Linked DNA regions of Schizosaccharomyces pombe. The protein of the gene in region 1 interacts with the protein of each later gene in a biochemical or structural test. Each region holds a gene or a part of one and is shown on either strand. Other genes may lie near its edges. The genes, in order: byr4 and plo1.

Region 1 (4,890 bases):
TTCGATCTATGTTTGAACGATTTGGGTCTGTACAAAGTTTAATTTTAAATCATAATTACAGACACGGGTTCTTGAAAATGTTTCGTCGTGATGCTGCAGAGAAAGCTCAAGTAGCGATGGAAAATGTCCCTTTTGCTGATACTACTATTCGTACTAAATGGGGTGTAGGATTTGGACCTCGAGAGTGCTCTGACTTTTCCACAGGAATCAGCGTTATCCCAATCCGTTTGTTGACGGATGCCGATCGTACCTGGCTTGTAACTGCAGAATATGGCGGCACGGGTGGCCTTCCGATTACTCCTGGTATCGCTTTGGATGAACCTGATATTGAAATTGGATTAGGAATAAGTTCTAAGGCAATTAGTAAAAGAGGAAAAGATTTTGCTATGCGTCGTGATGAGCGATTCCGGGGTCGTAAACCATATAGGGGAGGTCCACCCATTCACCATGGTGAAAGGCATTTTGATTCAGGAAATGACTGGCATGGTAATCCTAGTACCGTTCCTCCCCCTACCAACCCATATAATCCCGGCTATCCATATATGGATCCTAATTACTCTTCTGGGTATGTCTCACAACCTCCTTGGCAACCCCAATAATGTGTTAAAAGACGCTTACAAGTATTATAATGATGGCAAAAATGGTTTCTATATTACAGACGGTATTTAAGGGTATAATGTATTCGGTCCAAATTTAATTGATTATTTTCTTTGTATTGTCTTGTTCAAACAATCTAGTTTGTCTGGGTGTCACATTAGTATTACATTTGTATCATTGTTGTACATCTTATACATCTATTTGCAAACAAAATGAAAAATCTTCGAAGTGTATTAAGCTATGTACAAAAAGATCAAATCTGCGATAAACAAAAGCATTCGTATAATTATATATAAACATTCGCAAGGTAAAGACAAAACCTTGTTTATTGTTCGGCATTAAGTATATTATAAAGCTCCCATAGTCGTGACCTGTCATCGTTTTTAAATGAAAAAAACCAGCCATCAATTCTCTTTCGCCATTGAATATCTTCGCTAAATTGCTTTTTTTCAAACTCTGGGCCGACATCGTATATTTCACTCATATCTGGAAAATTGATTATTGAGTTTATGCTACCATTAAAGCTACCTGAATTTTCGTTCAAGTACTGCGAGGTGGAGTCTGTATCCTCAAGATCATCAAACCCGCTAAAGGGATCTTCCGCTTCTTGACCAGAAATCGAATTATCAATCCATCGTAACCTTGTAGGGTCATATACCATATTTCCGACAACCTGGATTCCTTTTTTTGTAGAAATGTTGGAAATTAATGCTGGACGGCTAGGCGAGATAGGGGTATCAAAATCTCTAATTGCATAATCGTTTCCTTCCCAGCAATGTTTTGTGGGATTATATCGCATTTTTCCAACAATTTTTGGGGTTCTAGGGGAATTTAAATTTTGTATTAAAGTAGGTGCCTTTTTATGGTGTCTGCGTTTTTCTTTGACGCTCAATTGATCATTGGAAAGCGATTCTTTTGTTAACTCTTTAGAAGGGGCGGCATGAGTTTTGTGTTGCCTTTGAGACCGAATATGCTCATTTTTTGCTGAATTAGTTATATTATTTAAATTATTCTCATGTTTCGAAGTAGATCTAGGGGTAGTATGTGAATGCCATTCTTGAGTTGAACCTGCGTGTTTACTTTTAGGCGTTCCGGAAACTTTGGTAGTTTGCTTTTTTCTCAATTTAAGCTCAAATTCATAATCAACTGGTAATTCATCTAAAGTATCAAGTTCTGTACCATCTCCGTAAGTCTTGCAATTTTTAGGCTTTGTTCTGTATTTAGAATTACTTGCAACTGTCTTCAAAGCGTCCAAATCCATCAAACCCATCGAATTTTTCGAATGATAGATCTTCAAATTCGAGGGAGTCCATGTGGAGCTTATAGAAGAATTTCCCTTCACGGGAGAAGAATGTTTACTCGAAGCCTTCAACGTTTCTGGATAATGAGAAGACGTATCCCTTTTCGAAAGTGTTTTCGAAGAATACTTTAGGTTTGGGTTATCAGAATGAGGGTTTTCATTAGCGAGTGAAGGAAATATGTCTTTACAAAGGGGATAATATTTTGCATCCTGATGCACATTAGGTTGATAAGAAATTGTGGAGGAAATATAAGGATGCTTTTGGTTGATGGTATTTGGAGATCGAATCTTTTTCCGAAAGATCGATTCTGTTTCGTTATTAAAGTCAATATCAAAATCATCCCAAAAGCCGTCGTCATTATGCGCAGAGGAAGGCGTACGAAGCGAAGACTGTTCTACGCTGGAAAAGGAAGCTTTTGGATCCATCCTATTTTGTTTTCTGTGCAAAATACTGTTTAGGTCGGTATCTGGGTCTATTTCAAAATCATCTTCAAATGAAGAAAAGCCTTCCGATTCACAATAAGGGGAGTCCGAAACACTGGGATACCGAGCATCATTTTCACTTGAAAGATATGTTTTCTTAAGAGTATCACTAGAGAATGGAATTGGAGGTCTTTGAGAAGCAGTTTCAGATGCTCTAATAGTATTGAATTCATCAACATCGGCATCTTGGTATTTATTGGGACGAAGTGTATTAAACTCATTATTACCTTCTTCACCTTCTTCATCGAACGAAAAATCATCTTCATAGCCTTCTACATTGGAAGAAATTCGGTTCTTGTTGGAAGACAGTTCATGGTTTAAATTATGTACTTGTTGATTCCATTGTTCGACACGAGAATGAGCGCTTGGTACATCAGAAATTGAAAGGCTATTAAGACGACTAATAGAGTCGTCAAACGAGAACCCATCATCCACACTCGTACTAGCACTAGTGGTAGCTATGGATTGAGTAAATAGGCTAGCATTATCGACGTCGGAAGCAAAATCAGGATCATCGTCCCAGCATTCAACTTCAGTCATTCAATCAAAATAAACGTATACTAAAACGGCTTTGCTAAGAAAAGAAATTGGATGCAAAACGCATAGAATGATTACTAACCGTATTCACCCAAAACTGAAAACCCTAAATTTGATTTTCAAAGAAAAAGAAAGTGAGAGAGAAAAAGGATGGTCACTAATTTTGCAAAGAAGTAACCACTGTAAATATTTACGCTTTCAAACCCAGCTTCGAGAAGTAATAAGTTATGAACAGCAATTCAAAAGGACTTCAGGAATATGATTATGATGATGCTTTCAGAGATACAATGAAATTTTGTTTTGTATAGAAAGCAAAAAAAAGAATTTAACTTATTTCAATGACAAAATCAAGGAATCTGGGTTAGCGGTATATTGTTGAAAGAGACGGAGGTTGAGCTAGAGGTATAAGTGTAAACACCAACTTGATCAATTTACGTACTTTGGTTTCAGTACTTTACGAGAAATCAATTTTTAATAAGGTGAAAAATAAAGCATCTACTATTTGCTTGTGTAAACCTAAAAAAAAAATAGTTTTTTTTGGTATCTTTCAGTCATATTTATTTTTGCTAGATTAATCATAGTAAAATACTTAACCATATGTGATTGCCAAAATGCATAGCTGCACCTCACCTTAAAAAAATCTAGGTAATCTAATTAGCATGCAACTACGAGTTAATGTTTTTTAAAAAGTAGATAAATTACAACGAAGGTTAGTAGGTGAAGCAATAAATAGTATGTTTAATCGTCACTCGTATTAGCAAATTCATTCGTCTTAGAATTTTATTTTCCTCCACGAAAATATATATATTTTTCTTTGAACGTTTAAATTATTATAAACAATTGCTTTCTCTGAAATTTATGCCCATTTACAATTTAATTCTGTTTATGGAATCTACATATTCGTTCAAGTATATATGAAATACATTTTAAGGAATCTTTTTTTATTAGATTCTTCGTATAATTTCTAAAATACATACTATTTTCATATACGAGTTTAGATAAATTACAAAAAAAAAAAAAAAAAAAAACGATTAAACTATAGGTTAAAAAGTAAATCTATTAGTTTATAACAAAAGAAACGTCTTTGTTTTATTTTAGTTTATTTTTTTACATCTAAAAAGTTATTGAAATCAACAATGGTAAAGTTGAACAAATTAACTCTTCAATTCATAGGTATGAGAAACCGTTCTTCATTAGTAAATCCAAGTATGAAACATAATCATGTTTTTACCCCTATGCGATCGCGCTATTCATATTTTTCCTAAATTATTTTTAGCATCAATTCTGTCTATAGTTTCATATAATTTCAGTGATTTAATCATGTAATTATTCATGTAAAGTTCATAAAAAATATAGGTTGATGATCTTATTAATGTTTGTACTTAAGAAATGGTAAATCGAACAAGTTGAAAAAGTAAGCATGGCATCTGTCTTATACTCTTGTGCTTTTCTGTAAACCAAGCAGTTAAAAACATTATTGCTTGCTAGTAGCGAAGCAACTTACAAACATTTCTCATAGACGAGAAGTAACTCCATTTTTCAGATAGTCTAATAATAAGTCAAAGAAAAGGATGTTTAACATCATCCTAATCAAATTCATATAAAACTAATAATTGTTTTCCATCGAAGGAATCTATATATCGCACTACAAGGTGCAGTAACGAAACACTCAGATCGTGGAATCCGGATTGTGTTCTTAACCTTACGAGAAAAACGAGCCATTACGGTCGTGACTGTCCAGAAATCGTTCGATTTTTAAATATCTGAATTTAGTCTATTTTTTGATATAAATCCCCCTAATCCCATTCGCTGCTGGCACAGTGTTTTTGTGAAAACAAAACAACCAAGTTGTAAATTTAATTCGCAAGTTGAACAGTGTTTTGATTCTTCACTTGTGTTAATACCAATTCATCCAATCGGTTGTATCATATCTTAAATACCATTTTGGTTACTTTTTTTTTTGGACATTTTGA
Region 2 (5,307 bases), 1.2 Mb from region 1:
TTTAAGGCAAGAGATAAGAAGAATGTATCTTCAAAGTTTCTCTTAGCAGAAGCCGACATTCTACGATCGCAAGCGAAGCTCCATTTTCCTTTGCGAAGTAGATCAGCTTTCGAATTTTCTTTTGTATATGACAACGAAATAGTACTTTTTGATACTTGTTATATGGTATGCACATACATTGTATGTAACTCTCCCTCTGGTTTAAAGAAAGTTGAGCATTTTTTCAAGAATATATTGCCTTTACATTTTGGTCTTGAAAAGGATAAATTTTCGATATTCCTGGATCAAGTTTTTCGTGGTCCTGATTACGATGTGAATGCCCCGAATATAGTTGGTAACAAGCCTGTACGTCGGAAAAGATCTAATTCTATAACCCAGTTGACGGAATTTGTAAAACAACCTAAAATCAATGGTCAACGCGAAAGTCGTTCAGCTGCAGCTGCTCGCAAAAAAGAAGAATCCGGTAACAAATCACAATCTAACTCTCAAAACTCTTTAAGTGATGAATCTGGAAACGTAACGCCGGTTTCTAAGAAACAGCTTTCACAACCTGCTGCAGCCATTAAAGCCAGTCTCAAATATCCAAGTCATCCAGATAGTCTTTTGGAACATCAAGATCATGCTGGTGATACGGAGAATGAAATGCATGACGACGTCGATAAAGAACAGTTTGGATATTCTTCTATGTACGTATTTTTTAGACTTTTTAACTTATTATACGAAAGGCTTTATGAGCTTCAGCGTTTGGAGGATCAAGTGTCCATTATCCAACAGCGTATAATACCAAACCCAGTATCTCAAAAACAAAAGATTTGGCGCGATAGGTGGAATGATCTTTCAGATGTCCCTGATGAAAAAACTCATTACGAAAATACTTATGTGATGATTCTTCGATTAATATATGGGATAGTTGATCAAAGTGCCTTCGAGGACTATCTGCGGTTTTATTATGGCAATAAAGCCTATAAAATATATACTATTGATAAACTCGTTTGGTCTGCTGCTAAACAAGTCCACCACATCGTTTCCGATGGAAAATACAAATTCGTTACTAGTTTAGTCGAACAAAATAGTTCTGCTTCGCCTAAGAAGAATTATGATGACTTTCTTTATCGCTTGGAAATTGAAAAGCTTTTGAATCCTGATGAAATTTTGTTTCGATTTTGTTGGATAAACAAATTTAAATCATTTGGAATCAAAATAATGAAGCGAGCGAATCTTATTGTGGATCAAAGTTTGGATACACAGAGACGAGTTTGGAAAAAATATGTTCAAAATTATCGTATACAAAAACTTACTGAAGAAATATCTTATAAAAATTATCGTTGTCCCTTTCTTTGCAGAAATATAGAGAAAGAAAGAACAGTTGAGCAATTGGTTTCACGCCTTCAAACAAAGTTATTAAGATCTGCAGAATTGGTTTCCGGATTGCAAGCAAAATTATGTTTAGACTCGTTTAAATTGCTCTACTTACCACGCACAGAAGATTCTTACATAGATGCATCTTACCTGCGCCTTAGAGATACCGACTTCCTTGATTGCCAGAATAAAAGAAAACAGCGTTGGAGAAATCGATGGGAATCGTTATTAAAATCGGTTAGGGGAACTTCTGACAACACGGCAGAGGTGAATTTTGATGCTGACATTAATGCACTATTTATCCCATAATGATTTTAATGCAGTCGACCTACCTATTGATCATATTTACTTAAATACAATTTGACTTTAATAGTTTTATATTACTTTGTTAACATAACTTATCTTTCTAGGTATTTTATAATTTCAAGGATTTATGTATAGTACGAATTTACTGAAATTTTTGCACATAAGCTTTGTATTAAATTTTCTAAAGCCGTACTTCTGTAATTACTACATAAAATATTACAATGCACAGATTTTTATTTACAAACAAGCGGTTGTCGTAGCAACCACTTTGTTTACCCTCAAAAGTTACCACCTGCGTTTTGTTAGAAACAAATACCAAATGGCGAGTGTTGCAATTAAAGAGCCCAAAACTGCTATAACCCCGAAGAAGAAGTCCAAAGCCTCTCGTCTTTGCTTTACTCCGCCAACTAATCTTCATAATAATAAAAAAAATATATTCTACACTCGCTACGATTGCATTGGTGAAGGCGGCTTTGCGAGATGTTTTCGAGTCAAAGATAATTATGGAAATATTTACGCTGCTAAAGTTATTGCTAAAAGGTCACTACAAAATGATAAAACAAAGCTGAAGCTCTTTGGAGAAATAAAGGTGCACCAATCCATGAGTCATCCAAACATCGTAGGATTTATAGATTGTTTTGAAGATTCGACGAATATTTACTTAATTTTGGAGCTTTGTGAACATAAATCTTTAATGGAACTTTTACGTAAGCGAAAACAATTAACTGAGCCAGAGGTTCGGTATTTAATGATGCAAATTTTGGGAGCTTTGAAATATATGCATAAAAAGAGAGTCATTCATAGAGATTTAAAGCTTGGAAATATTATGCTTGATGAGAGTAACAATGTAAAAATTGGTGATTTTGGGCTTGCCGCGCTTTTAATGGATGACGAAGAACGTAAAATGACTATCTGTGGTACACCGAACTACATCGCACCTGAAATTTTGTTCAATTCAAAAGAAGGACATTCATTTGAAGTTGATCTTTGGAGTGCTGGAGTAGTCATGTATGCCCTCTTGATTGGAAAGCCACCCTTCCAGGATAAAGAGGTAAAGACAATTTATAGGAAGATAAAAGCCAACTCATATAGTTTTCCTTCAAATGTCGACATATCTGCAGAAGCAAAAGATTTAATTTCTTCTCTTCTGACACATGATCCAAGCATTCGTCCCAGTATTGACGATATTGTTGACCATGAATTCTTTCACACTGGCTATATGGCTTCTACACTTCCAGATGAAATTTTACATTCAATGCCTATATGGCCTTCTTCCCAATCAAAATCAAGCTTTCAGAGAAACCTGGACTTCGTTGCCTCTGCTTCCGGAGTAGGCTTTGGAAATTCAGCAGGTGTAGAAAAGAATAAACCTTATGCACTTCGAACAGATGAAGTTGATAATGATCGAATATTACCAAGTGTTTTAAGTCCAAGGGACCGTGTCAACCCTGTTATGAAAATAGGACCGGAAACCAAACCTGTACCATCAAAGCTCTCTACAGCCCTCCATGCAGCTCGTAAATCCACTGATGGAAGTTTAGGCTCAAGAGTTAAAGTTTTGAGAGAAGAATCACAATCATTTGTTCCAACTAAGAGCGCTGTCACTGAACAAGTTGAACCTATTCAATTAATTCGGTCTTTATCTGCAAATACAGTTTCAAGACTTTCTAAGGTTGGAAATATGAAATCAGACATTTGGATCAGCGTAAAGAAGACAGCTCTTAAAATCGGGATGGCATTGGAAGCACATACACACGCTTTAACTTCAGAGGATGCTGACTCTGAGCCCGTTCTTTTTATTACAAAGTGGGTTGATTATTCCAACAAATATGGTTTAGGATACCAGCTATCCGATGAATCGGTTGGCGTACACTTTAATGATGATACATCCTTGCTTTTTTCAGCTGATGAGGAGGTTGTCGAGTATGCTTTACATCCTAAAGATACAGAAATTAAGCCATATATTTATCCTGCTTCCAAAGTTCCTGAATCTATAAGAAGTAAACTTCAGCTTTTAAAGCACTTTAAAAGCTATATGGGACAAAATCTTTCGAAGGCTGTGCAGGATGAGAGTTTTGAAAAACCCAAAAACTCAACTTCCAATACCATGCTTTTCATGCAGCATTATCTTCGTACGCGTCAAGCTATAATGTTTAGATTAAGTAACGGAATTTTTCAGTTCAATTTCCTGGATCATCGAAAAGTTGTTATTTCCTCTACCGCACGGAAGATCATTGTATTAGATAAAGAGCGAGAGAGAGTGGAATTGCCTTTGCAAGAAGCATCCGCATTTTCAGAAGACTTGAGATCTCGCTTAAAGTATATTCGCGAGACGTTGGAATCGTGGGCGTCGAAAATGGAAGTGAGTTAATAATACCGTTAATCTATACTTGGGCGTTAAGTTACTATGCTGTCTATTTTTCCATATTTCACATCCTCATTTTTGTACTATTCATCCATTCAATTCAGTTTTATGTTAATGTTTTACTAATTCTTTTTTTATTATTTCTTTCCCTCAGATACATCTTTTAAACGCAGGAGCTCTTGACGAATAAGTTATAAACTTAAATTATAGCTGCAAATATCAGCTTAATCCCTTTTCAAAATTTTTTATTTTTTGCTTTTAAATTGATCGCTGCAAATTCTGTCTTAAGGCGACACTTATTTATCTAATCAAAAGGATTCACAAATCTCAATGTTCCAAGTGTTATCCAAAATGTTAGACTAGTCACAGCTATGTTAATTGATTTTTATTCTCTCGCTGTAACTGAAATCCTTTTCACAGATTAGATACATGTTTTGCTAATTATGTCAGTAAAATGTGTACAGTTGAGTTCAATCTGCTGCATATTAAGAATCACAGACTTTGTAACACCAAATTAAATTAATTAATAGTAGCATTATTTATTGTTTACAAGGCATTAATTTATACTTCACTAAGTATATCAAAAGAGCAATAGTACTGGTTTTTACTAGCAACTGTCACGTTGAATCCAAATAGCAGGAACATTTTTATAATAAATAGGCTGATGCGATAAAAGAACTGTTTGCTTTTAAAGTACTTATAAACTAATTCCAGCAATACATAATTAGTAAATAAAATGCTTTCTCTACCTACGCTATGCTATGTTAATAGCGATTGAGGAAATTACCTAACGGACAATACACTAATTAGTTTAACGAATATGAAGCTTTGCGTAGCATGCGTTAAATCTCTTTACTATTTCATAAACAAGCCGAGTCAAATTGATGAAGTATCCAAGAACGCATATCCAATTCCCCAGTATGCTTCGGAATCGTTTGTTTAAAACCCCACATCAGACTGGTAAGGATATTAATGCTTTTTCAAATTGCTCTTCAATTTGTACTAACGTTTTGTAGGCTTTCAATGGAGGTTAGGCGCTCCGGCGACGGGAATTACAATCAGGAACCAACCTATTAGAAGCTATTCAGGTCTGCGAGGAAATTTTTTGATTGATAAAAGACTCTCTCCTGTCAAATTTAATAAATATAGTCCATCAGATATAGTATTCTATAATATCGGCTCTTCAAGACTTTACTCTACAGAAACTCCTACTCCTTCTAAAGTTAAGGAAGCCCCGAAACAGGTTGCTGCGGAAGAGACTAAGCCAACTACTGTGG

The links.
Region 2: of the proteins of byr4 (region 1) and plo1, one has a biochemical effect on the other in vitro, tested with the Schizosaccharomyces pombe proteins (one study listed by BioGRID).

What each region holds. Positions count from the first base shown.
Region 1 is NC_003424.3:961,515-966,404, forward strand, and holds byr4 (two-component GAP Byr4), read right to left. Parts: upstream 3,295-4,890; 5' UTR 2,921-3,294; coding exon 923-2,920; 3' UTR 800-922; downstream 1-799. Other genes in the region: poly(A)site selection protein Seb1, read left to right, coding at 1-599. UniProt on the Schizosaccharomyces pombe protein: Has an essential role in ensuring cytokinesis and septation occur only once during mitosis. It does so by interacting with the ras1 signaling pathways, thereby suppressing them.
Region 2 is NC_003424.3:2,162,256-2,167,562, forward strand, and holds plo1 (Polo kinase Plo1), read left to right. Parts: upstream 1-1,975; 5' UTR 1,976-1,984; coding exon 1,985-4,036; 3' UTR 4,037-4,510; downstream 4,511-5,307. Other genes in the region: Clr6 histone deacetylase complex subunit Pst2, read left to right, coding at 1-1,668; putative potassium ion transporter Mdm28, read left to right, coding at 4,951-4,990, 5,047-5,307.